Ovis aries: one gene and its partner. The protein of the gene in region 1 interacts with the protein of each later gene in a pairwise test. Links are inferred from orthologs where the notes say so. Each region holds a gene or a part of one and is shown on either strand. Other genes may lie near its edges.

What was found.
Region 2: the proteins of DMC1 (region 1) and KCTD17 interact in binary tests that used the Homo sapiens proteins (3 or more experiments, as listed by UniProt). The two-hybrid records come from large-scale screens. The link is inferred for Ovis aries from reciprocal best matches to the Homo sapiens genes DMC1 and KCTD17.

What each region holds. Positions count from the first base shown.
Region 1 is NC_056056.1:216,034,648-216,046,873, forward strand, and holds part of DMC1 (meiotic recombination protein DMC1/LIM15 homolog), read right to left. Parts: intron 11,827-12,226; coding exon 11,774-11,826; intron 10,271-11,773; coding exon 10,229-10,270; intron 9,041-10,228; coding exon 8,968-9,040; intron 4,571-8,967; coding exon 4,479-4,570; intron 4,071-4,478; coding exon 3,997-4,070; intron 3,872-3,996; coding exon 3,757-3,871; intron 3,406-3,756; coding exon 3,345-3,405; intron 1-3,344. UniProt on the Homo sapiens protein: Participates in meiotic recombination, specifically in homologous strand assimilation, which is required for the resolution of meiotic double-strand breaks.
Region 2 is NC_056056.1:181,104,969-181,117,194, forward strand, and holds the end of KCTD17 (BTB/POZ domain-containing protein KCTD17), read left to right. Parts: intron 1-1,939; coding exon 1,940-2,031; intron 2,032-2,960; coding exon 2,961-3,056; intron 3,057-4,818; coding exon 4,819-4,944; intron 4,945-5,450; coding exon of another isoform or gene 5,451-5,528; exon of another isoform or gene 5,529-6,270; intron 6,271-6,276; coding exon 6,277-6,346; intron 6,347-6,538; coding exon of another isoform or gene 6,539-6,894; exon of another isoform or gene 6,895-7,855; intron 7,856-7,953; coding exon 7,954-8,333; 3' UTR 8,334-8,843; downstream 8,844-12,226. UniProt on the Homo sapiens protein: Substrate-adapter for CUL3-RING ubiquitin ligase complexes which mediates the ubiquitination and subsequent proteasomal degradation of TCHP, a protein involved in ciliogenesis down-regulation.

The DNA of each region.
Region 1 (12,226 bases):
GCTCCAGGAGAGCTGCAGCTTGGAGTTCCTTAATACTGAGAAACAAAGATATTTTCTTTATGGAAAGTATTCTAATAGCATTTGGAATTCTTTAGTTTAAAATTTCTTTTTTAATTTAGTTGTGGCAATTTATGTGCTTTACAGCACATGCATTTAATTTATATTGTCATAATATTAATACATTTTAGAATATACTAATTACAATGAAACTTGTTTCTGTATAACCCAGCCAGGTGGAGGAGATGCTATTTCAAAACAGATTCACCAAGCAAAAATATGAGCCTTTGTTACTTTCTTTGGCTCTTTACCTAGCTTCCTTCATTACATATCTCCTCTGCTCTCTGACTCTTCAATTATCTTCTTTCTGTCACCTCTTTATTTTTCTCTTACTGGAGTCAATTCAAAATGATTTGATTCTCTTTGAAACTTTTTACAAATATAAGAAAAAGAATCCTATCTGACCTAATTTCCACAGACTTCTTTTGCCTTCTAACTCTAGATCGACAGTTTTGGCCTCTTCAATGTTCCCTCCCAACACCTGAAGAAAGAACATTGCTCTTTAACTTGCACTGTTTTATTTGAATGCAACCCACTTCCTCCCTCTGAGCCAATGAGTCATTTTCTCTTTTTAAAGTGAGCCTTAAAAATCTTCCATTTCTCTTCAGCTTAAAATTATTCTTTTTGTGAAGTACTTCATGTCCTGTGTATGAAAGACACCACATAACACAGAGATTGCCCTAACCATTCAAGGACTACAGACTTTGCATGACATATCAAGACTTGAAAATTTAAATTAAATGGACATCATGTATTTTGTTTTTCCCTAATGGAGGCAAGGCAGATAGTCTCCTTTGTTCACTAGTGAATTCCCAGAATCTTGTTACATAGTATATTTTCAATAAATATATATTGAATGAATAAATAATTTCTCTCGCCCCAGTCATTTTAACATGCTTGGACTTTCCTGGTGGTCCAGTGGTTAGGACTCCACACATCCACTGCAGGGGGCTCAGGTTCAGTCCCTTGTTAGGGCGCCAAGACCCCACATGCCTCAAGGTGAGGCCAAAAAGAATGACCAAACCAAAAAATAACCATGTGCTTAAAACCTTTCATGTAGTTAAAACTTTTCACACTGGAATCTCTTGTAATTAAGTAGAAAATAAAAATGGTACTGAAAAGTGAGAGCTATATCAAACTGCAGAAGATGCAGCAATAATCTTAGGATGAGTTCAGAAAATGCCTAAAGAGAGATACATTCATTTCAGAACAATTTTCAGAATTTACAATATTATATCAAATATCTTCTCATATATATCAATGATTGATTTATCTGCTAACAAGTGACATACTGACTCAGTTTTAAAGTAACAGAACTTTGTACTGCAGCCATCACAGTAATAACTGATTTAAACAGAATCTCCAATAGGGACTTCTCTGGTGGTCCAGTGGCTAGGACTCTGTGCTCTTAACTCAGAGAGCCTGGGTTTGATCTCTGATTAAGGAACCAGATCCCATATGTTGCAACTAAGAGCTCACACGCCCAGTGAAGATGGAAGATCCTGTGTGCCTCAACTAAGAGCCAGTGCAGCCAATCAATCAATAAATAATTAAAAACAAAAGAATCTCCAATAGATGCTAAAATCAATGGGTGCAAAACATGACACTTATGTAAGTCACAAAGTATCACCCCAGAAATTACTTATTAATTACCAAGGGGAAAAGGTTTTTTACAATGGAGAAATCTGGTGAACACATGTTAATAACATGATCAAACTTAACATTAGTAATAATGGGACAAACTGAAAGAGTGTGCCTCTTGATATGATATATGGAAAAGTGATATATAACATCACTTTTATAGTTTTCCTGCCAAATGTGTTTAACGTTTTAAATAATGAGAAAAAAATAAACTCCACATTGAGAGACATTCTGAAAAACAATTGGCCTGTGCTCTTCAAAAATGTCACATGCTCCCAATGCAGGCAGCATGGACTTGATGACCCTGTGTACCGCATGGTGCAACAAAAACATCAATGTCACAAAAAACAAAGGTTGAGGAGTTGTTCTGATTAATGGAAACTAAAGAGACATGACAAGTACATGGAATGCATGTTCCTTCAAACTATACAGGCTATTATTGGAACAACTGGAGACACTTGAACATAACTGTACATTAGACAACTAGTACACCAGTATTAAATTAGCACCCTGACTGTGCTAATTATGTTGTAGTTATGTACAGGAATGTTCTTCTTCTTAGAAGAGATATGCTGAAATTTAAGAAGTGAGGTGTCATGATGTCTGCAAATAATTCTCAATAATTCAGGGAAAAAAACTCTCAAAGGTTTCACAGAACATATACATACATATATAAGCCTGTGTACGTATGCAGTATATAGAGAGATTTTACATACACATGCACACACACAAACACATATGTTAACAACTGATGAACCTAGGCAAATGATATTACTTGTGTATTTATTGTGCTAGTCTTGCAACTTTTCTCTGGCTAAAAATTATTATAAATAAAAAGCCATTGAAAAGATCTTTAAAAAAGCAATACATAGATTCAGGGTTATTTGGATTGCTTATCCAGATACATACTGCTCAAAATTTTTGATGGTGGCAACTAACCTTTCTTAGAATTCTGTTTCACTAGACTACTTTCACTCTCCTTATCTTTCTATTCACTGCCATCTTTCAAGAATAGTCATCAATATGTAAGTTATGTGCACAATACGTCAACAAAAAATGAATATTTCTAACATGGACTAGCATGGACTGAAATTCTGTTTCCTCAAATAGGAGACTTCTCTCCTAGGACTTCTTACAAATATACCCCATGTATATCCTGTAAAGAGCCTGCTTTTCTGTTTTCAGGCTAAAAGCTTATCGGTGCAACAAAAACCATTCATGTATTTTTGGTGAGAGAAGTCTCCACATCACTTCCTGCACATAATAAATGTCACCTCCCCCCCTGTAAGAAACCATTCATGTATCTTGTATATAAGTTTTTATTTCCAAGATTTTTTTTATTGTTCTCCAATATCCTTTAAATCTTAGACAAAAAAAACCCCAAATATCTCTGAAAATAGTTAAAATATTGCTTTGTTTTACAAAGAACTAGAGACAAATAGATCTGGATACCAAATAAGTGATATTTGCAATTATGAAGTGATATGCACCGTGTAAAACATGATTTGTGACAGATTTGTGCCCATATCAAGACTGATAATTTTGGAATTATTTCCTATTCTACACTCTAAACCCTTTTTTTCCCCCACTTTAACGCTTCTAATATTAACTTTTGTGAAATACAAAAGCAGAATATTGGGGCTTACGTCATAGTTGCTCCTGGGTCAGCAGTCATTTGATTGGTCACAAACACAGCTACATTATATTCTGCATCAAGAAATAAAATTAAGAAACTAAGAGAATGGCAATATAAATATTAAAAGTTTATTGCTTAGATTTCAGAGTTTAGAAACACTGTGCCATGAATTTCTTTGATAAACAAGATTACATTCCTGTTTTTTCACTGTTAACACAAAGTTATTGTTATATTATTTAGGTACCTTATTGTTTTAGAATCAGTATTTCTGGTTTTAAAAAAGTGTTGTATCCCCATGAAGGAAATTTTATCTTTTAAAAAACAGATTGTCTCCTGACATTATTCTGAGCTTCTCTGCAAAGCTTATTCAGCAAATAGTCACAGATGCTATTCTAATATCACCGTTTATTTTAAACATCTACCTTCTGAGATTTTTTGGAGTCGTGACAACATCTGGGCCAGTTTTTGCTGCCGTTCAGCCAACTCCCCACGACCGCTGAAATCCACTCGGAAAAGTGCCATTATTGAATCAATGATCTGTGCAAAATTAATGTAAAAATAAATAATGCATTTGGAAATGGAAGTTAATTTGAACTAAAATCAACAGAAGAAAGATAATATGCTAAATAGCTGCAGATTGAACAGTATTGAAAAGCTTGTACCAGCAGCTTAAAGATGCCAGCTTCTTCATGGAACTTTGCTGCTACATAATCAAGTAGCTCCATCTGATGTTCACCTGATGGGAAATGCAGTGGGAAAATGTTATAAAAGCTAGAAGCAGCGGAGACTAAGATCATGTTTGTCCTTGGAACTCAGCAAAAGAGAACCCCTGAAGGATTTCTTTTTTTTTTTTTTAGGATTTCTTAATTATTACTTTATTAAATATGGTAGCATACATACCAAATGATACCTTATCCAAAAGAATGTTACTCTCCATTTCAAAGACAAAGAATAAGAAATAATTTGAGAGCATTTCAATGTCTAAGGACTTAGATAATAAAATCTGTGGACTGACTAAATAAATCTGGAGAAAAGTAAAATAGAAAGAGAAAAGAATAATGTTAAAATAAAGTATCGTTCAAATAATACATCAATGCTGCCAATCTTAAAACAGCCTAAGCATCCAATTGCATGGGGTTCTTACTAGTATATGCACGTGCATAAAGTACATTGTCCAGAACTGCATTATGGTCTACATTGAAGCGATCAGCAATGTCCCGAAGGCGATCTGGACGGCTGGAGTATGCCAGATTAAGGATTCAATAAATCAATTCCAAAAAGTTTAGACAACAACTACAAACAATAATGCTCTAAGTAAATGAGAGGCAAAACGCTCTACCTGCATAGGTATTCTGAGGATGCTAATAATCACCTAAAATCTATATCAGACTTTATTTTACCTAAGTGCCTTAATTAGGTAGTAATAACAGTGATAGAAATAATGAGACAGTAATGAATTTAAATATTAAATTATCTAATCTAAACAACAACCTTGGAAGTGAGTTGTTATGGCCTATATTACATTTTACAAATAAGGACATTGACAGAGATTAGGCAAATGACTCAGAGGTAAGCAGCAAATCAGTTATAAGAGAAAAACTAGAAATTAAGATTTGTGAACCTTTTTTGTTCTCAGTTCTATAAAAATAGATCTCTTCTATGAAGATAATATCACTGAATTATAATTCAAGTCACTTCAAAGTGAATTAATTCACTCATGTTCCTCACTTGTTCAACACGCAACAGTTTAATATACCACTAATCACATGTTGCCAATAAATGATAAATTTGACTACATGAACCAAAGGATCAAAAAAGTCACTTTAAGGGTACATACAGAAAGGAATTATCATCATATAGTTTTTCATTTATTTTGGGTTTAAAATCCACTTTCTTCTAAAGGAGTTGTAATAGCATTCTGAAATTAGTAAATTCATAGAGGGGACAAATTCGGTGTACCTGGAAAGGTATTCTGGAAGATGTTAATATTCACTTATATCTATCTAGACTATAAAGAGTATCAATAAACATCTTTTTAGGTCTTTGGTGATCCCAATATTTTCTAAAATGACATAAGATAAAATGCATGTCCATGGACTCATTTCACTTTGTTTACAGTATCTGTGTTAATACTGATCATACTATGCTGTGCTGTACTTAGTCGCTCAGTCATGTCTGACTCTTTGTAACTCCATGGACTGCAGCCTGCCAGCCTCCTCTGTTCATGCGGATTCTCCAGGCAAGAATACTGGAGTGGGTTGCCATGCCCTCCTCCAGGGGATCTTTCCAACTCAGGGATCAAACCCAGGTCTCCTGCATTACACACAGTTTCTTTACCGTCTGAGCCACTAGGGAAGCCCAAAAATCCTGGAGTGGGCAGCTTATCCCTTCTCCAGGGGACCTTTCCTACCCAGAGATCGAACTGTGGTCTCCTGCATTCTAGGTAGATTCTTTACCAGGTGAGCTACCAGGGAAGTATAAACCAGGGACCATTTATAACCTTATTTGTTGACACTTGGAACTAGTCCAGTAAATGCTGAACTGTCTTTAGCATTTCCCAGTCATGCTGCTGCTGCTGCTGCTGCTGCTAAGTCGCTTCAGTCGTGTCCGACTCTGTGTGATCCCATAGACGGCAGCCCGCCAGGCTCCCCTGTCCCTGGGATTCTCCAGGCAAGAACACTGGAGTGGGTTGCCATTTCCTTCTCCTATGCATGAAAGTGAAAAGTGAAAGTGAAGTCGCTCAGTTGTGTCCGACCCTCAGTGACCCCATGGACTGTAGCCTTCCAGGCTCCTCCATCCATGGGATTTTCCAGACAAGAGTACTGGAGTGGGGTGCCATTGCCTTCTCCATCCCAGTCATCCTACAGCACTATATATGTTTTCTTCAGAGCTACAGTGACAGCCACTAAAATCTTCTACTGCTGCTGAGTATACTCAGATGTTACTGATAGACAAGTCAAAGAAGACAAGGAATTGAAAGAGATAAATAAATTTTTTTCACTATGTCAGTTTTTATAAAACCAGGTAACTATATAATCAGGAATGTAAAGTTGGGCTTACACTAAAAGGAAGTTCAAGCCAATTTACAAATGTTTTTTAGCAGATCAGCAAATGGAATTACCAGCATATTAACCAATTACCAGTGCAAGGCACTATGGAGGATTTAAGGAGTCATAAGATAATTTATGCCATAAGTAAGTGTAAAATATAATTATGTAGGCAAAATATAAGCACATAAAAAGAAAAATATCAAGATAGAGCAGTATACATGCAAGAGACACTGAAAGAATGAGAACATTTCACTTGCGCCCTTGCACATCCTTGTTCCCCTGCATTCCCTCTTACACATGGCTCTTAGCTGTTTCTACCATTCTGGATAAAATCCAAATTGCCAAATAGTAGCAGATATTCTTCAAGAACAATTCCTCCCTCTCAAAGAACCATATTTAATCAACTATTTCTGAAACTAGCTGAACTCCAGCTGAGCAATTCTTGCTTCAGTCCTATTGTTAAAAGCAATGTCTTCTGAGCCTGATAGCTCCTCAAACTATCGTTATTTCTTCTTCTATTTATTGGTTAATTACACACTACATCAATTCCTTACTGTTTATTTGCAACAAGTTTCCATCATCTTTCTTTACTGCAAATGGTCTCTTGGACTCCTAATTGCAAATCTCAGTGATCTTTCTCAGTTTACACCCTCTCTCTGTATGGAACCCCTTTTCTTTTTAAAAAATATTTTTTTTGGCTTCATGATGTCCTAGTTGTGGCAGGCAGGTTCTTTTGTTGTGGCGAGGGCTTAGTTGCCCAGGACATGTGGGATCTTAGTTCTCTGACCAGGGATGGAACCCACATCCTCTGCCTTGAAAGGCAGATTCTTAACCACTGGACCACTGGGGAAGTCCCAATCCTTTTTTGAAACTTTCCTTATGCTTGGCATCCACCACCAGATTACTTCATCTATCCCCTCTTCCTAGACATACGCATGCCCCAAAGTTATGCTCTCCATTCTCTTTCTGTAAACTCTCTTGCTTTTCCCTGGCCATCCCATCCATATCAAGCTGAGTCCAACATTTTCAACTGCCATATGAATGTCTTTCTGTACCTCATACTCAACATATTAAAATGAAACATCATTTTTTCCTTTGAAACATGAGCTTCTGAATTCCGTCATCATTACTCTGAGTATGTAGACAAACCTATGAATGGTTTCCCAAACCTCTCTTCCCTTTGTCGATCAAGTACAGTCATCAAATCTCATTATTTGCCTAGAATACTGCAAAAGTATCCAATTTACACCCATCATCCAGCTTTAGGGCCCTTCATGTCTAAGAGCCACATTTCCAGCCTTGCATTCTGAAATAACTTGATACTTCAACAAAACTGCAATTCTTTTTGTTACCCAAATAGATTCTTTTCTTTTTCCTTTCGTATTTTTTTTCAGTTCAGACCTTTCCTTTATTTGAGACCATGACTTTAAATGAGTCAACAATCTTCTAATTATTAATCTAAATCTTCGGAGAAGTAGGAGGATTAAAAAACAAATAAGATATAATTTCCTCTCATGTATTTGTTTTGTTAATTTTATACCAAACCCATTTGGAGAAGTGAAACCTTTTTAAATAAAACATGATTTGATCATAGAAAAAAAAGCATGGTTACCAAAAAGGAAAAAGCAGTGGGGAGGGATAAATTAGGAGTTTGGAATTAACATATATATGCTATATAAAACAACAAGGACCTACTGCCTACTGTATAGCACAGGGAACTATATTCAGTATTTTATAATAACCTATAAGGGAAAAGAATCTGAAAAAGAACATATATATATACATATATATATACACACACACACACACACACACACACACACACACATATGGGCTTCCCTGGTGGCTCAGACAGTAAAGAATCTGTCTAGGTTTGATCCCTGGGTTGGGAAAACCCCTGAAGAAGGGAATGGCTACCCACTCCAGTATTCTTGCCTGGAAAACTCCATGGACAGAGGAGCCTGGCAGGCTACAGTCCATGGAATCACAAAGAATCGGACACAACTAAGTGATTAACACACACACATGTATACATATGTATGTATATGGGCTTCCCTGGTGGCTCAGAGGTAAAGAATCCATTTGCTAATGTGGGATATGCAAGTTCGATCCCTGGGCTGGAAAGATCCCCTGGTAAAGGAAATGGCAAGCCACTCCAGGATTCTTACCTGGGAAAGCCCATGGGCATAGGAGCCTGGTGGGCTATAAACCATGGGGTCACAAGAGTTGGACACAACTTAGTGACTAAACAATCACAACAATATACATGTGTGTATATATACGTGTGTGTGTGTGTATACCTATATATATATAACTGCGTCACTTTCCTGTATACCTGAAACTAACATGACATTGTAAATCAACTCTATGTCAATAAGAATAAATACACAATTCTTAAAAAGATTTAAGAGGGAAAAAGTGATTTGAGAACTCAACTAGCAACTGTTTTCCCTTGGTTTTTTTTCATTATTATTGGTTTACAGGATAGTTATAAAAATGACACATTTCAAACAAATTCTCTTTTATAGTAATAGTACTATATCACACTATTATGTTTGCAATTTGCATAAATAAAAGGGTTACAAAGTATTTTCTGTATCGATGAAAATAATCTTTCCTCCTGAGTAGCCACCTGCTCCTGGAAGTTGAGCTGTCACTAGGAAGCAATTAAAAATTAATTAATATTAACAAGAGTGAATAAACTCTGTACAAATGGATATACAAACTAACATGGGATTTATTCTGGTTGCAACTCTCTAGCCATCTAGCAAATAATAGTTCTAAATAGCATGTTATATTTTTATATTACTAACCAGTGGCAAAATTATAAGTATTCTTCCAGCATAACAATAATTCAGCAAAGAATGTTAGTATCTTTCACAATGGGAGATATTCATGAAATTTAGTTCTCCTAAAGAACTGAAGTAGAATAACAAGGTCCTAATGTATAGCACAGGAAACTATATTTAATATCCTGCAATAAACCATAACAGAAAAGAAGATATATATGTGCATAAATGAGTCACTTTGCTGTACAGCAGAGATTGGCACAACATAATAAATCAACCATATTTTGATAAAAATTTTTTTTAAAAAGAACAGAGGGAGAATTTAAATATTACTTTCCTCCTATAAGAAATAATCACAAATACAATTTATGCTATGCAACTCATTTAAGTAACTTTTCAATTAATGTATGCATTAATTTTAAATGTATTTTCTTTATATGTAGTATTAACACTAAGGAATTATTTTGCATTAAGCACACACATTATTTCATTTATTTTTCAAAACAATCCTAAAATGGCTCTATCACTATTCCTATTTTACTGATGGGAAAAATCTGAAAGGTGAAGCAACTTAACCAAGGTCATGCAGCTATTAAGGGTAGACCTATTTGTATTCCAGAATCCCCTTACTAAACACTTAACCATGTTCCTTCTAATTAGGTCTAAGAAATGCAATACAATGACTTTATGTAAAAGGAGATATTTTTGCTTATTTTAAGTCTTTTTTAGTTCCACCCTTACTCTATGGAAAGTAAGGAATTCTAAAGCCTCAATAGATTCTGTGATATTCTTATAAACATATATACAAAAGACAGAATAAGAAAAACCGAGGCCATGAACAAATACCTCTCTCCACCAATACATTCATATATCCATTTACCTCCTCCCTGTTTCCATTCAGTCGTTCAGAGTGCGGTACATGCAACATGACCTCATGTATCACACATTTACAGACCAGCTCTGGTATTTGTATAACCGTGGAGAGTTAAGTAATCTCTCTGAGTTTTAGTTTCCTTGCAAGTTTGTTCAGATTACATGAGATTATATATCCTTACCACAGAGGGTATGAGAGAGTTGGGTTTTTCCAGTTCGAAATTCTGTGAAACATAGGGAAAAAAATAGTTAATAGTTAGATTATTTTCATAAAGACTAGATATGGTCTCAGAGTATGGTTTCCTTTTCCAACTGTCAATCTCACACACGAAGTGCCTCTATGTCATGAATGGATTCTGCATATATGAATACCAGTAATAAAAAGAACTTTTTAAAGGTTTTCTTTTTCAGAACTGTCCTTTAGATGATAGTAAAACCCAAATTTTTCTTAGGAATAATCATATAAATGAAAGTGTAAGGCTCCACCACAGGAAAGAGACCCTGGAGTTTTCCCACTGATCAGAGTGAGTGAGTGAGTGAAGTCGCTCAGTTGTGTCCGACTCTTTGTGATCCCATGCTTCTCTGTCCATGGGATTCTCCAGGCAAGAATACTGGAGTGGGTTGCCATTTCCTTCTCCAGGGGATCTGCCCAACCCAGGGATCGAACCCAGGTCTCCCACATTGCAGGCAGAAGCTTTAACCTCTGAGCCAGACTTGCCTCCAACCTCAAATTGGTGGTATCTCCTAGCTACCAACAAAAGCAAATACTCTCTAGAGAAAAACATCCCCACTATACCAATTTAGGCCTATTGAACTTCAACAGATTAAAATCAAGAAATATGTTCACAAATATCAATAAACACACAAGAAGGGAAGTCATTCAAATGGGTTTCCCAGGTGGCTCAGTGCTAAAGAATCTGCTTGCAATGCAGGAAACGCAGTTCAATCCCTGGCTGGGGAAGATCCCTCGGAGAAGGAAATGGTAATCATTCCAGTATTCTTGCCTGCAAACGCCCAAGGACAGAGGAGCCTGGAGAGTTATATAGTCCTTGGGGTTGCAAAGAGTCGGACATGATTTAGCGACCAAACAACAAGCCATTAAGACTGGAAGTCAACAGAAATAAACAAAGATTTATTTCTCCAAGTCAGCAGAAACATCAACACTGAACAAACAAACAAAAAAACAGATTTGGTTCTCTCAGGACTGAAAATAATGGAACTGTCAGGAGCAGTACATAAAATAGCTATGCATGGATTTCTTTTTTCTTTTTGGCTGCACCAAGAGGCTTGTGGGATTATAGTTCCCCAAGCAGGGATCAAACTCAGCCCCTAGCAGTGAGAATGCAGTCCTGACCTCTGGACTGCCAGGGAATTTCCAACTTTTTTTTAAATAGAGGATACAACAAAAAGAAAAATCTATTCTCTGTGTTCCTGAAATATGCATTTCTTAAAAATATTAATAAGATCAGTCTCATTATACAACTACTTTCTGAAGGTATGAGAGGAAAAAATTTTCTTCTATAGGAATCAGAGATGAAAAGATGAAAAATGTCAATAAAACTCATCCGTTGATGTTGGAAAATATTTTAATTGTAGCCCAGAAAGATCTTGCATTATGATAACTGATATTTCATCATAAGTTCCAAAATAGATATAATTTATCATTGATATGGCTGTGTATACATACATATATTTTTCATATAACAAAATATTAAGCTTTTACCTACCTCCAAAAGCTTCTGTGATTGCCATGCTTTCAATTCCACCTCCTAGCAACTTACTAGAAATAGAAAGTAAGCTTCAGTAACAGGAACAGAAATAGAAATATCAAGAAAGGAGAAGTGCTAATATCATTGGTATTATTTCTATCTATGTACTGATGCGAAGAACCAACTCATTGGAAAAGACCCTGATGCTGGGAAAGATTAAAGGTGGGAGGAGAAGGGGATGACAGAGGATGAGATGGTTGGATGGCATCACTGACGCGATGGACATGAGTTTGAGTAGGCTCTGGGAGTTGGTGATGGACAGGGAAGCCTGGCGTGCTGCAGTCCATGGGGTTCCAAAGAGTCGGACACGACTGAGAGACTGAACTGAACTGATCTATGTATCTTTCTATCTATCCAAGATAAACACACATTCTTGGCTGAACAAATGGCTTCCCACCTGCTTAGATCACA
Region 2 (12,226 bases), about 35 Mb from region 1:
TAGAAATGGCCACGGGAAGAGGTATGCTTCTTTCTTTGAGTGATCGGGTATCTCAGATGCCTGGTGAGGGCTCACAGTCAGCAGGGAGGTGGAACGGGTGGCTCTTCCCGAGCTCTGACAGCCTCTGCTGCACAGTGCTGGTTGTGGGTGGAGGAAGGGGAGTGGGGAGGCTGCTCCCCAGCGGGCGTGTGGTCCCTCCCAGGCCAGGTAGCTGAGGCCCTGTAAATGTCCACTTCCTGGCCCAGCAGATGGCAGGGAAGCCATGCCTGGGAGAATGGCTTCTTGGCAGAACTGCAGCCTGGAGCAGGGACTATAGGTGGGTGCCAAGCCCACTTTTCCTTAGAGCACAGGGTGTGGCTTTGGGTCAGCTGACCCAGCCAGGCCAGCTTGGACTTGTCACTTTTCCTTTCTGAGTCTCTACTGTGTGTATAAAGTGGGGCGGCGATCTCCATTAGGGATGTGTTCTGGGAAAACAGACATCGCAAATCCCAGGGCTTGTACCCTGAAGGAATCTAACACAGCCCCTCCCTCCTCACTCAGGCCACAGTCTTCCCTCCTGACCCCTATGGGACACAGTAGTCTAGAGGCCAGGTGGCTCTCCAGAGGACCAGGGCTTCAGAATCAGAGCCCACTCTAGGCATCGGCTCCGGGAGCCCCACAGCTTTCCTGGTGGCCCCTGGGAGAGCAGACACCATGGGCGTGGCCTGGGCCCAAAAGCCGCTCCCACGGGGAAGGGAGCTAAACACTCCAGCGTCACAGCTAACACCTGTTTACAGGTTCTGGATTTGTCAAAGCCCTGGCATTCCCAGCACCTTCAGACAGGACTAGGGCCCTGCTCCAAGGGGCCAGGGGCTTTGGCAGGAAACTGACTAGTGTGTGAACCCTAGAAAGTCACTTATCCCCTTGTGCCTCCATGCCTGCATCTGTGGAATGGGGTAACAATAGCACCCACCTTGCTGAGCTGCTGTGAAGATAAAAGGGGCGGATACAAGTGTGTCGCTTAGTGCCACGCCTGGCACCAAGGACCCGTGATACAGAGTTTGCTGTCTGTCATCTGTAGGGCCCCACGGGGGGCATTCCTGGCAGTAGCACGCACTGACCACCTCCTCTGTGTTAGGTGGATGTGAGCACTGGGGACAGCCAGGGACATCAGATGTGGGTCCTGTCCCGCAGGAGCCCAGAGGCCCGTTGTGCAAAGGACCTGCCCTGAGGAGCTGAGGGGGGTCCAAAGGCTGAGGGCTGTCCCCCTCACCAGAGAGGCACTCGCTCAGTCTCTAAGATGGCTCCCTTACCTGCGTGGGGACAAGCACGCCCTGGGGCTTGTGATGAGCACGGGACAGGCTCTGCAGACTGTGAAGTGTGGTTGGTCAGTGCACAAAGATCATGCACTTAGTGGGATTGGAGGGCAGAGGCACTTGAGTGGGAACCCCAGCTCTGCCCCATGCTGGGTGTGAGGTGTTGCACAGCTACTGCCTTGCCTGGCCCTTGGCTTCCCTGTTTGCTCGGTGGGGGTGATGAGAGTATCTACTTCTCGTGCTGAGAATGAACTACAGTAAAGAGTGCAACCTGCCTGGCGTGGTGCCTGCTGCTTAGCACGTGCTTCATCAGTGGGAGCATGTAATCAGGGGTCAGCCAAGGCCCCTCTCACTGTGGCCTTCTAGGGTCCAGTCCCATGGGCCTGCTGCCTCTGGTTAGCCCCAGACGGGGGGACTGGTAGGTGTCCCAGGTCGCTGTGCTCAGCACACCAGGGAGATGGTGCCTCTTAGCCCTGCTATAGAGAGTGTGAGTCCCCAAGAAGGGAGTGTTCCCTCTTGCCTGACCCCTGAACTCAGAGAGGCTCGTCACCCTAGTGTGATGAGCAGGGGGTGGGGATGGAGGGGACAAGGCGAGAATGGGGCATGGGGGCAGTGGGAGTGATGTGGGTGCTGCTCTGTGTCAGGGGTCCTGGAGGAAGCGGAATTCTACAACATTGGCCCGCTGATCCGCATCATCAAAGACCGGATGGAGGAAAAGGATTACACCGTCACACAGGTCAGGGGGCAGCGGGGCAGCATCCATGGCCAGAGCAGGGGGTGGTGGGGAGTGGGGAGAAGGGAGGTCAGGAGAGACAGAACTAGGTTTTCTTGGGAAGGCCGAGCTGCCCTGTAAGGGGTTGTCCAGCTCCCAGATCGCCCCGCAAAGCCCCAGACTGGGAGACATGTATCAGGTTCTGTCCTTGCCTTGGCTCTGCTGTGTGACCTTGGGCCAGTCACTTCACTCTCTGGATCCTGATTTCCTTTTGGGGCATATAGAGGTACTGAGAACTGCCCACCCTTCCCTTCCTCACAGGCAATATGGAGTCAGTATGAGGGTACAGGGGTCCTTGTAGGGGCAATGGGGATTAGTACACCATCCATTTCATGGGCTCAAGTGGCCCCCTGGAGCTGGCATGTCTGAGCTTGGACCCTGGACCTAAGTGGCCAGTCTGCAGGAGGAGCTGGTGGACTTCTCTGCCCACCCTGGGGGAGAGGTAGAAGATGAGAGATGGGTAGGGAGGCACTGTCTTCCACTGTCCTTCTCTCCCCAGGAGCTTGAAGAGGGGGTGCTCTGTCTCCTGGAGGACCTGCCTCAGTTAGTGGCCCAGGATGCCTCCTAAGCCCTTCTTCCTTACCCCTTGTATCACCTGTGTCCCAATTCTGGTCCTGCAACTCTTTAGCTGGGTGACCTTGGGCCAGTAACCAACCCTCTCAGAGCTTCCATGAACCTTCCTAGGGTTTTAGGTGGGATTAAGTGAAATCACGCATGTTGAGTGCCTGGCACATCGCAATTACTCAGAATGTGACTTCTGGCTTACCACCCCAACTCCATCCCCTCCTTCTGTCCTTCTTAGGGGTAGAGGGTAAGTGAAGAGCAGGGGCTCTCCCATCCCGGGATGCTGGGCACTCCCACAAGGTGCCCTCCACATCGCCCTCTGCCCATAGGTCCCACCCAAGCACGTGTACCGCGTGCTGCAGTGCCAGGAGGAGGAGCTGACGCAGATGGTCTCCACCATGTCTGATGGCTGGCGCTTTGAGCAGGTGGGTGGAGCACGCAGGAGCCACATGTCCAGGCAAAGCAAGCTCCTCTCTTCCTGCAGCCCCAGCCTTGGGGTTCCCCACTGCAGCCCCTACCCAGGAGTCTTCTTAAGGCAAACAAACAAGATTAAGAAAGGCCACACTTGGCAGCAGATTGATTGGGAAGGAGAGACAAAGGAAGCCCCACGGGCCACAGGCAGCTCTGGCAAAGCCTCCCAGGAGCTGGGTAGCATTTACACCGAAGTGTGTGAGTCTCTGCCCCCCCAAGCGACAGTTCTGATGAGAGGAGACAAGAACCGTAGAGGAGAACGGAGGTCTCCTGGGGGCCACACCTCTTGTAGCAACTCCACAGGCATAGATTCCAGGTCCCCACAAGGGACATGCCCAGTTCCAAGCATGGCCGCCTTCAGAAGCACAGAGCGGCAGCCTCCCCTGAGGTATTCACGATGACCTGCATTTCCTTCCAGTGCTGATGCAGTTTACCAGCCAGGAGAGATTTTTATCATAAACAGGTTGCCCTAGTAATCCAGTTGACGTCACACCTCTCTCAGGTTTCCAGAGGATCAGAGCCAGCAAGCCAACCCAAGGTCAGATTGGCCCTTAAGAAGAGAAGGGTTGCACTGCCTTTTATCCACACAAGCTCCCTCACACCTGGAGGTTGAAGAAAGGAGAGGAAGGCCAGGCTCCCCAGGATGGCCAGGCCTGGGGGGAAGAACAAGGCCAGTCCAGGAACTGGAAGCCTGGATTCACATCTAGGCTTCACCACTGATGTGCTCTGTGACCTTGAGCAGGTCATCTCTCTCTTGGCCTCAGTTTCCCAATCTGTGACATGGGCCAGTAGTGCTTCTTTTGCCAGAACATTGTGTAGATTAGAAAGACCATGGATCAAGTCTCTAGCCCAGGGTAGGCCTCAAAACAGTGAAGCTAGCTAGCATCCTATGAATTATTAGAAGCATTTGACTCTGTAGGATTCCAGAGAGGACTCAGGGTCCTGGATTCAAATCCTGTTCCACTCATTCTGGTTGTGGGACAAACCATCCCTCAAGGCCTCATCTGCTAAAGGGGCTGGCTGGTTTTTCCTCTGTCTGCAGGATGAGGGTCCCTGGGGGCTGAATGAGACCCACCATGTGCAGAGCTTTTATCAGCCAGGAGGGGCCTTCAGATGTAGTTATTTTAGGGATCCCAGACCAAAAGTGGGGCTGCTTTCCTCTGCTCTCTAGGTGAGAGTCGCAATTGCATGGGCTCCTAGAGGCTGAGCAAACATGCCAGGCACCACTGGCCTAAGGAACAGGTGATCTGGTCTACCTCTATTTCCAAGAGCAAACAGAATATTCTATGGTGCTCCACCAGGTCATGTGGACCCCATCCCGCGACTTGGTTCTGGGGCTGCTTCAGCCACACCCAGGACACAGGAGCACAGTCTGCCTGTTACAGATCTCTGCCTGCTTCTGGAAGTGGCCTGCTAGATCTGGGACTAGGCCGAGTGGGGGAGAAACAGCAATGATAACTGCCTTCCCCTAAGGATCAGGCCCGGCCAAGCCATGTGGGGAGGCTGGCCCTGGAAATTGACCAGAGGCATAGGCTGGGGAGGTGGAGAGGACTCTGACTTTGGGCCAGAGGTGTCCTCTGGAAAGCCAGGGGGATGGGCCTGAATGGAGCAGCAAGATAGGGCACAGTCAGTATCTTGACAAGTGCCAATGTTTGCCCACCCCTGCCCCCCACCCCACCTGACCAGTCATTTTCTCCCCACGCGCCGTCCCTCCAGCTGGTGAACATCGGCTCCTCCTACAACTATGGCAGTGAGGACCAGGCAGAGTTCCTGTGTGTGGTGTCCAAGGAGCTCTACAGCTCTCCACATGGGCTGAGCTCCGAGTCCAGCCGCAAAACCAAGGTGAGCCCCCCGCCCGACCTCAGCCTCCCTGCCTTCCCTCCCTCCCCTTGCTGCCCTCCGCCTGGCCATCTGTGCTTCTTCTTTCTCCCTCCTGCTACACACGCCTGACGCCCTGATCACAGCTGATGCCATCCATCCCATGCCACCCATGGTCCTGTCTGCCCACGCCAGTTGCCCAGGCCCAGGCTCCAGGGACAGTGAGAGGAGATTAGCCCCAGGGTGTGACCAGAGTGGACTTAGATGTTACTTGGATGGTGGGCACATGGCGGCCACGGGGCAGCATGGCACCGGGAGAATGCACTGGGCTAGGGGTCTGGGCGTGGTGTGAGTGCTCTGTGTGACCTTGGACAGGTCGCATCCTCTCTGTGCACCTTGGTTGTATTCTCAGAGAAGTGAGGGGGTGGACCACCAGCTTGGAACTTCTGCGATCCAAGGGGCCAGTTTAGTTCCTGGGGACCAGGGCTGGGGCAGGGAAGCTGAATCTGTTCATTCTGCCCCTTCTGCAGGCTCCCCACATAGGACTCAGCAGCAGAGGGGTCTGGAGCCCTCAGGGTCCAACCCTGTGTTGCCATCCTGGCCTGTGAGGCAGCCTCAGCTGGCTGCAGGGAGGGGGTTGATCGAAGGTCCTATCACCCCAGACCCTGAGTTGGTCAGAAGCCTCAGGAGTCCAGGGTGGAACCAGCAGGGCAGGCAGCAGCCAGGCTGGGAAGAAAGGAGAGCGTTCCTTCTAGAAGCCTGTCCCTGTGTGTTGAAGACTTAGGAACTCTGCTTCCCGTCTGTTTGTCTGCCTTCCTGTGCTGTGACTTCCCGTGCCCACCCCACCCCCAGCGGGGCCAGTGGCTGACGTGGCCTTGCAGGGGTGCAGGGTGAGCTGGCTGCTCCTGCCTCTCTGGGAGAGACCTCAGGATCTGGGATGTCAGAGCCAGTGCTGGCATCTCAGATCTGGCTGGTGTCTGCTGTGGGCCTTCCCTGGCCTCATATGTACTCTGGGTTGGTCCTTCTAAAATGAGGCCTTCCCAGGCACCCCTCAAGGATACCCCAGCCACACACCCACCCTCTTCGTCTCCACCACTGTCACAGCGGCAGCGGCCAGCATCCTCAGCAGGTCTCCACCCTCCCGCTGGTTACCCCGGGCCCCTCCCCAGGCTTCCTGGGAGGGACACGATGCCCCGGCTTCTGTGGCTGTAGCGCTCCCCTCCCCTGAAGGTCCTCCTTCTCTTGCCCCTCCCCTTCACCCTGAGACGGGGGCCCTCGGGGCCAGCCGCCAGCAGGCCCCGGTCCCCCGGTCAGTTCTGCGCTCTTTCTTCCCTGGGTCCGCCGGCTGGTTCACAGAGCGCGGAGGAGCAGCTGGAGCAGCAGCAGGAGCAGGAGGTGCAGGTGGAGGCAGATACGCAGGAGAAAGGTGCAGCCAACCCCCGAGGAGAATGATTGCTAGTAGAAGCCGGCGCCTCCCGCCCGCTCCCTGCTGGAGCCAGCTGCAGAGCCTGGGGTCCCGGGGGCGGCCGGGGGTCGGGCGGGCCCACCAGGGTTAGCTCAGCCGCATGCCTGGCGCCTCACCTGCATAACCATCCCTTCTCTCACTTTCTCTTTGCAGCCCAGTCATCTCAGGATCCCGCTAACCTTTTCTCCCTCCCACCACCGCCTCCTCCTCCTCCGCTCCCCGCCGGAGGTCCTGCCTCATCTTCATCCACCTCTTCCTCCTGGATCTCACCTACACCCTGCCTCTTCCCTCTCTGCCCCTGTCCGGGTTTTCTCTCTGCCTGCTCACACCTCCATCCCGGGGCTGTCCTGGTCCCAGCCTCCTGCGCCCTCCACCCAGGCGCCCCGGCCCCGCATCCCAGAGCACCCTGCCTGCCGCCTCCTGCACCCCTTCTGGCACCTCCTGCCTCCCGGGCCGGTGGGGAGGGGAGCAGCTGCACCTCCTCAGCGCCCCCTGCCGGCCACGTCTGAGGCACTGCTCCAGCGCTTCACGTTCTCCTCACGTTTCCTCCTTGCAGGTTTCTGGCGGCACCCCCTCAGACCTGAGGTGGTGCTTGCAGGGAGGGCCTCCCCTGGGCCCCTCGCCTGCCCCCAGAGCTGCCATGCCTGGTTCGTAGCCTGGCGGAGCTGGAGGGAGGGGCAGAAGCCAGAAGGGTGCTCATCTCTTATTTCTGGAACTTGAGCCGCACTTCCGGCTGAGTTTCTCCCCTCACCCAAGTTTCTCAGCCTATCTTGGCCTTGGGTGTGAGGCTCTGAGAGCAGACAAGAGGGGGAGGAAATTCTCTCCCACCTGCCCATCAGCATCAGAGCCACGCTGGGAAGGAGGGAAGGGAGACGGAAGCCAGGTGCCCAGACCTCACCCCTGATGCCCAGGACTCCTAATCACAGCCTCGGGGCACTGGGTCCCCGGTTTCTGCGGGGCTTGGAAGGACAGGCCACACTTGGATGCCTGTGGCCTTGGGAGAGTCAGCAGGAGCTGGCTAAGGATTGGGCTGTGGCAGAAGCAGCCCTGGCCAGGAGCCCACAAACCCCCACTCCATCTTATCTACCTGCTGTGGCCTTGGGCAAGTCACTGTCCCTCTCCGGGCCACAGTTCTCTAAAATGGGACTGACAGCTGTTCTCTGTGACCTCTTGCCTGAGACACTGGTGACCAGCCTCTCTTGACTTTCACTCCCCCAGCCAGAGTCTTGGCAGAATATGGACTCCTAGGAGGCCACCACCCAGCCCAAGATGGGGCGTGGGGTTCCCAGCAGACCAGCAAGCCGGGTCGCCTTCCTGTATCCCCTCCTCCTCAGCTCTGAATCCACCTTTTCTGGGCCTCAGCCCTCCTTCCTCGCAGAAAGGACCTCGTGACTCACCTAACTCTCTCTCTCTCCCTGTCTCCCCCACCCGCCCACCCCCTCCATTTCGATCTCCCCTCTGCCCTTCTCCTGGCCCTGCACTCCCGTCTCCTCACTGGCCCCACCCCCCCTCCCCTCCCGGTGTTCTGACCACCCCCACCCCGTCCCCCTGCCCCTCTTATTTTCTAGCTGTTACAAGCCAGAGGCACCCGGATGTAAGGCCCCAGATCGCCTCCAGGGACTTGGGGTTCCGTTCTGAAATCCTTTATTTTTGTACCACGGGGTGGGCCCCCGGCCTGAGGCAGAGGAAGAGATCTCCCCGCTGTCACCTCTGTCTACACCCTAGGGGATGTCACTCACCCCTGCCTCCGGGGTCCGGGAGGGGGCCCGCGGGGACCTCTCAAGCCCTGAGGTGGGCCCTGGGACCCCTGGGCAGAGCTGCCTGCCTGTGGCCGAAGTGTGGTGTTGTCCAGCTGTGTCTCCCAGGCCCCCAAGTCCCTGCCCCCAGGGCCCCCAGCTGCATGGCAAATACTACGCTCCCCCCCAGCCCAGTGACGTCACCTCCTTGAGCCTTAGTCTCGCTGTGTGTCACCCAGGTCACGTCCTGCCCTAACCTTGTGAGGTTACCAAGAGGGGCGAGGGCCCTGAAGGCCCTCAGGGAGGGTGTAAAACGCAGGCTGGCCCAGCACAGAGATGCAGGGATTGGTGGGGGTGAAAGGTCTGGGGGTCGGCCATATCGGAAGGAGAGGGTGGGTGACTTGGCCTTCAGCTTGGCTGCTCCCCACGCCCACCCCATCCCCGCCATCCGTACTGCTGGGCGCAGAGTGGCCTGGCCAGGAGGGCAGCGGGCACTGATTCAGCAGGGGCAGTGGGGCCCCTCAGGAACTGATGGCAAGGGAAAGGGGACCGTCCTTCCTCCACCCAGGGGAGAGGCTGGGGCTGGCAGGGGCTGAGCGAGGGGCCTCTCGCGTTTATGGGCTCCTGGGCCAGGTACTTGCTTCTCAGTTGTGTCCAACCCCATCGTGTAATAAAACCTGAATAAACAGCCAGCCTGGCTGCCTCCCTTTCTCTGGGCCACATTTGGGGACAGCGCTCTGTGGACTTAATTGTGTCTGATTCTCGTGACCCTGTGGATGAGTCCACCAGCCGCCTCTGTCCATGGGATTTTCCAGGTAAGAATACTGGAGTGGGTTGCCATTTCTTCTTCCAGGGGATCTTCCTGACCCAGGGATTGAACCCATGTCTCCTGCATTGCAGGTGGATTCTTCACCTGCTGAGTCATCAGGGAAGTCCCTTGGATCAGGGGCTAAACTTAAGGTGGGATACAGTCCAAAGGTAATGGGGCTTTTTCCCCAAGTCCTGGGGTCTGCCTGTTGTCCCTCTCCCGTGTGTGTTGAGGGGGAGTATCACGGCTGGATCCTCTGTCTCGTGGATGGGCGTCCAGGGTACCAACGCTGCCTTGCTGGGTAAACTTTGGAAAGTATCTGCCCCTCTCTGGGTCTGTTTCTTCACGGGTAAAGCAAGGGGTTGGACGAGGTGACTTCTAAGGCCCTGCCCCCAGAGTTACTCAATCTCCCACAGCCTCCAGGCAGACGTGGATTAGCTGGGATGCTGAGGGCTGGGGAGCTGGGCTTCCAGGCACCTGGAGTTTCCCTACCTCACCACACTGTTCAGCTGGCCCTCTTCTCCCCGGCTTTGCCCTGCCACCTCCGCTCCATCCTAACCTCCCAGGACGTCCTCTCTGCTTCCCGCTATGATACCTTCTGGTCACCTCCACCCCCTGTCCCAAGTCCTGAGAAATACAAACCCCAGGCTCCCATCCATCTTCTGAGTCCAACAAAGCCCTGCCCACCCCCACCCAACTTGGCCAATTCCTTCACCATGTGCTGGTCCTACTGAGTGTCTACCTTGCCTCCCTCCTCCCCTCCCCCCAGCAGTTTATTTTGCAGGTGTTTTGGGGGGACATCTCTGCAAAGCCGTGATCCCCTAAGCAGAGGCCCTCCCAAGCCCACTCAACGGTCTGGGGGCCCTCACCACTTCCCTTGGGGCCACCTGGCTCTCTGGAGTTGACTTCACTTTCTGTATCGCAAAAGGGTCACCAGGAGGCTTGTTAAAAGAACAGATTACAACCCCCACCCCAATTTCCACTAAGACTAGGATAAGGCCAGGAGTTTGCATTTCAGCAAAGCACCCTCTGGCAGTGTTCTGCTCCCCCTTTGAGAGGCCCCTGGGGTAGTCCTGTCCCCTCCCCAAAGCTGACCCCCCCGTAGCAGCTGCTCCACCTGCTCCGTCTCCACAGGGGCCGCCCAGCAGGTGGAGGGCTCCCCACGCGTGGCTTCGGCGGCCACTCCTCGTCTCCCTTTGAAAACTCTGGAGACTAGGTCCCTGCTGAGGCCCCCGCTGCTTCTTCCTCCCACTCAGGCTCCAAGGAAGACGTGTCTGCGCTTGACACCCTCCTTCCCTCCACCAGGGCCCACCCCACAGCCCTCCCTGATCACTCCCACTCAGGCCACAGCCTTGGCTGCCAAGACCCCACCCCTCAGCTCCCCTCCAGCCACTGGACACACCACCCCTCAGCCTCCTACTCTGGGCCCCCACTTCTACAGTGCGTGTGTCTCCCCTACCTCTTTGGTCTTCCCTGGACCACCTTCCATGCAGGGTGGCTGGAAAATCCCCCCTCCAAACCTCTCTCAAGCTCTGCCTATCTCCTGGACATCTCCCTCCTAGAGGCACCCTAAGTTCATGATACCTTCCCAGAGCCTTTCCTTCCCCAGGTGCCCCAGGTCAGGCAATGGGTCCTCCACCAGCCCAGCCAGGAGAGGTCCTCAGATTACCCCCACCACCAATGCACCTGGAGGATAATGAAGGTCCTTCAATGCTGTGTCCATCCCCACTGCCCTGCTTGGTCCAGGCCTCCTCCTTCTTGAGTTCTGCAGCAGCCTCCTCACCAGCTTCCCTGCCTCCCATTTTCTCCACGCTGATGTCCATGTTGGTTCTAAATGTTAAGCCACTTGTGTGTCACCTTCCTGCTCTAGAACCTTTCCTGGCTCCCCAGAGTGCCCAGCATCAGATCTTTAGCTCCACTCCAAGTTCTTTGCCATCTCATCTCAGTTTGCCCCTCCCCAAAGGAATTCTGCAAAGAATTCCTTTGCTTTGCCCCTAACCCCAACCTCTGTCCAAACTAAAAACAACTTTCCCTAAGAGGCCACTGACTTTGAGGACTCTGTGCCTTTGCACATCCTCTTCCCCTGCCTGGAATGCTCTTCCCTCCTTTGGCTGCCTTTGAATCCCAACTCAAGTTTCCTCCAGGCAGCTCTCCCTGACTTTCCGAGTTACTGGCTGCCTCCCCCAGAACCCTTCACACTGGATCACCATCCCACCCCTCTCGAGATTAGGAGCCGAGTTCTGTGAGCTCCATGACCCCACTACAGCACTTGGCACGTGGTCAGAGCCTGTGAGGTGCTGAATAAGAGACACAGAATGCAGAGGCAGTGCTGAGACAGAGAAGTGGTCGCCTGGGAATCAGGAGACAGGGCTTCCGCCCCAGGCTCCACTCCTGACCCCTCCCTGGTGGGATCAGGAGGCTCCTTGTCCCTCAGTTTCCTCCTAGGCTTCCAGAAGCAGCCCAGCACTTGTCCCAGCTCTGACTCTGACCTGTGTGCGTCTGACTCTTTGTGGCACAATGGACTGTCGAAGGGAGTTTCCAGGCAAGAATACTGAAGTGGGGTGCCATTTCCTACTCCAGGGGATCTTCCCAACCCAGAGGTTGAACCTGTGTCTCTTGCATCTCCTGCTTGGCAGGCGGATTCTTTACCACTAGTGCCACCTGGGAAGCCCAACTCTGACCTGACGGCACCCCACCACTGCCTTTCCAGGGTGGCTCCTGGGATTTAGGCAAATGCCCTGGAGGTCAGCCCTGCCCCCACTGACCCCGCCTTGGCCTTCTGGACACTTAGCCAACAGGCTGAGCAGACAGCAAGGGTCTGTTCAGTCAAGGGCATGAGATTGGTGCTGGGGCCCCATTCAACCCCCAGAGTAGGACCTTGGGTCAGACGGCTTTATTCCACAGGGCAGCTGAGCTCACCTCCTGGTGAGAATGGTCAGTGAAGTCCCAAGGGGCAAGTGGGGTTGGGAGGACCCTGGACCCAGGGCTCCCCACACTTTGGCTTGCAGTGGCGGCTGGCCCACTTGGCTGTCTCCAGGACTGTGAGGGCCCTTCCTGTGGGAGCACCTTCCTCCTCCACCACTCAAGTTAGGCCGAGGGCTTCAAAGGCCGGAATCTGCTGTCTGGAGAAGATGCCATCCCAACAGCCTTTGCACTGGGGCAGGGGTGGTGGCGGGAGGACCTTGCAGCCACAGGATCACTGCTCAACTCTTCCCCACAAAAGTCAGCAGCGGAGGAGCAGGGAGGAGAAGAGAGAATCAGGAGGTGACAGCCTGGATGAGAACCCCCCATCCAGGA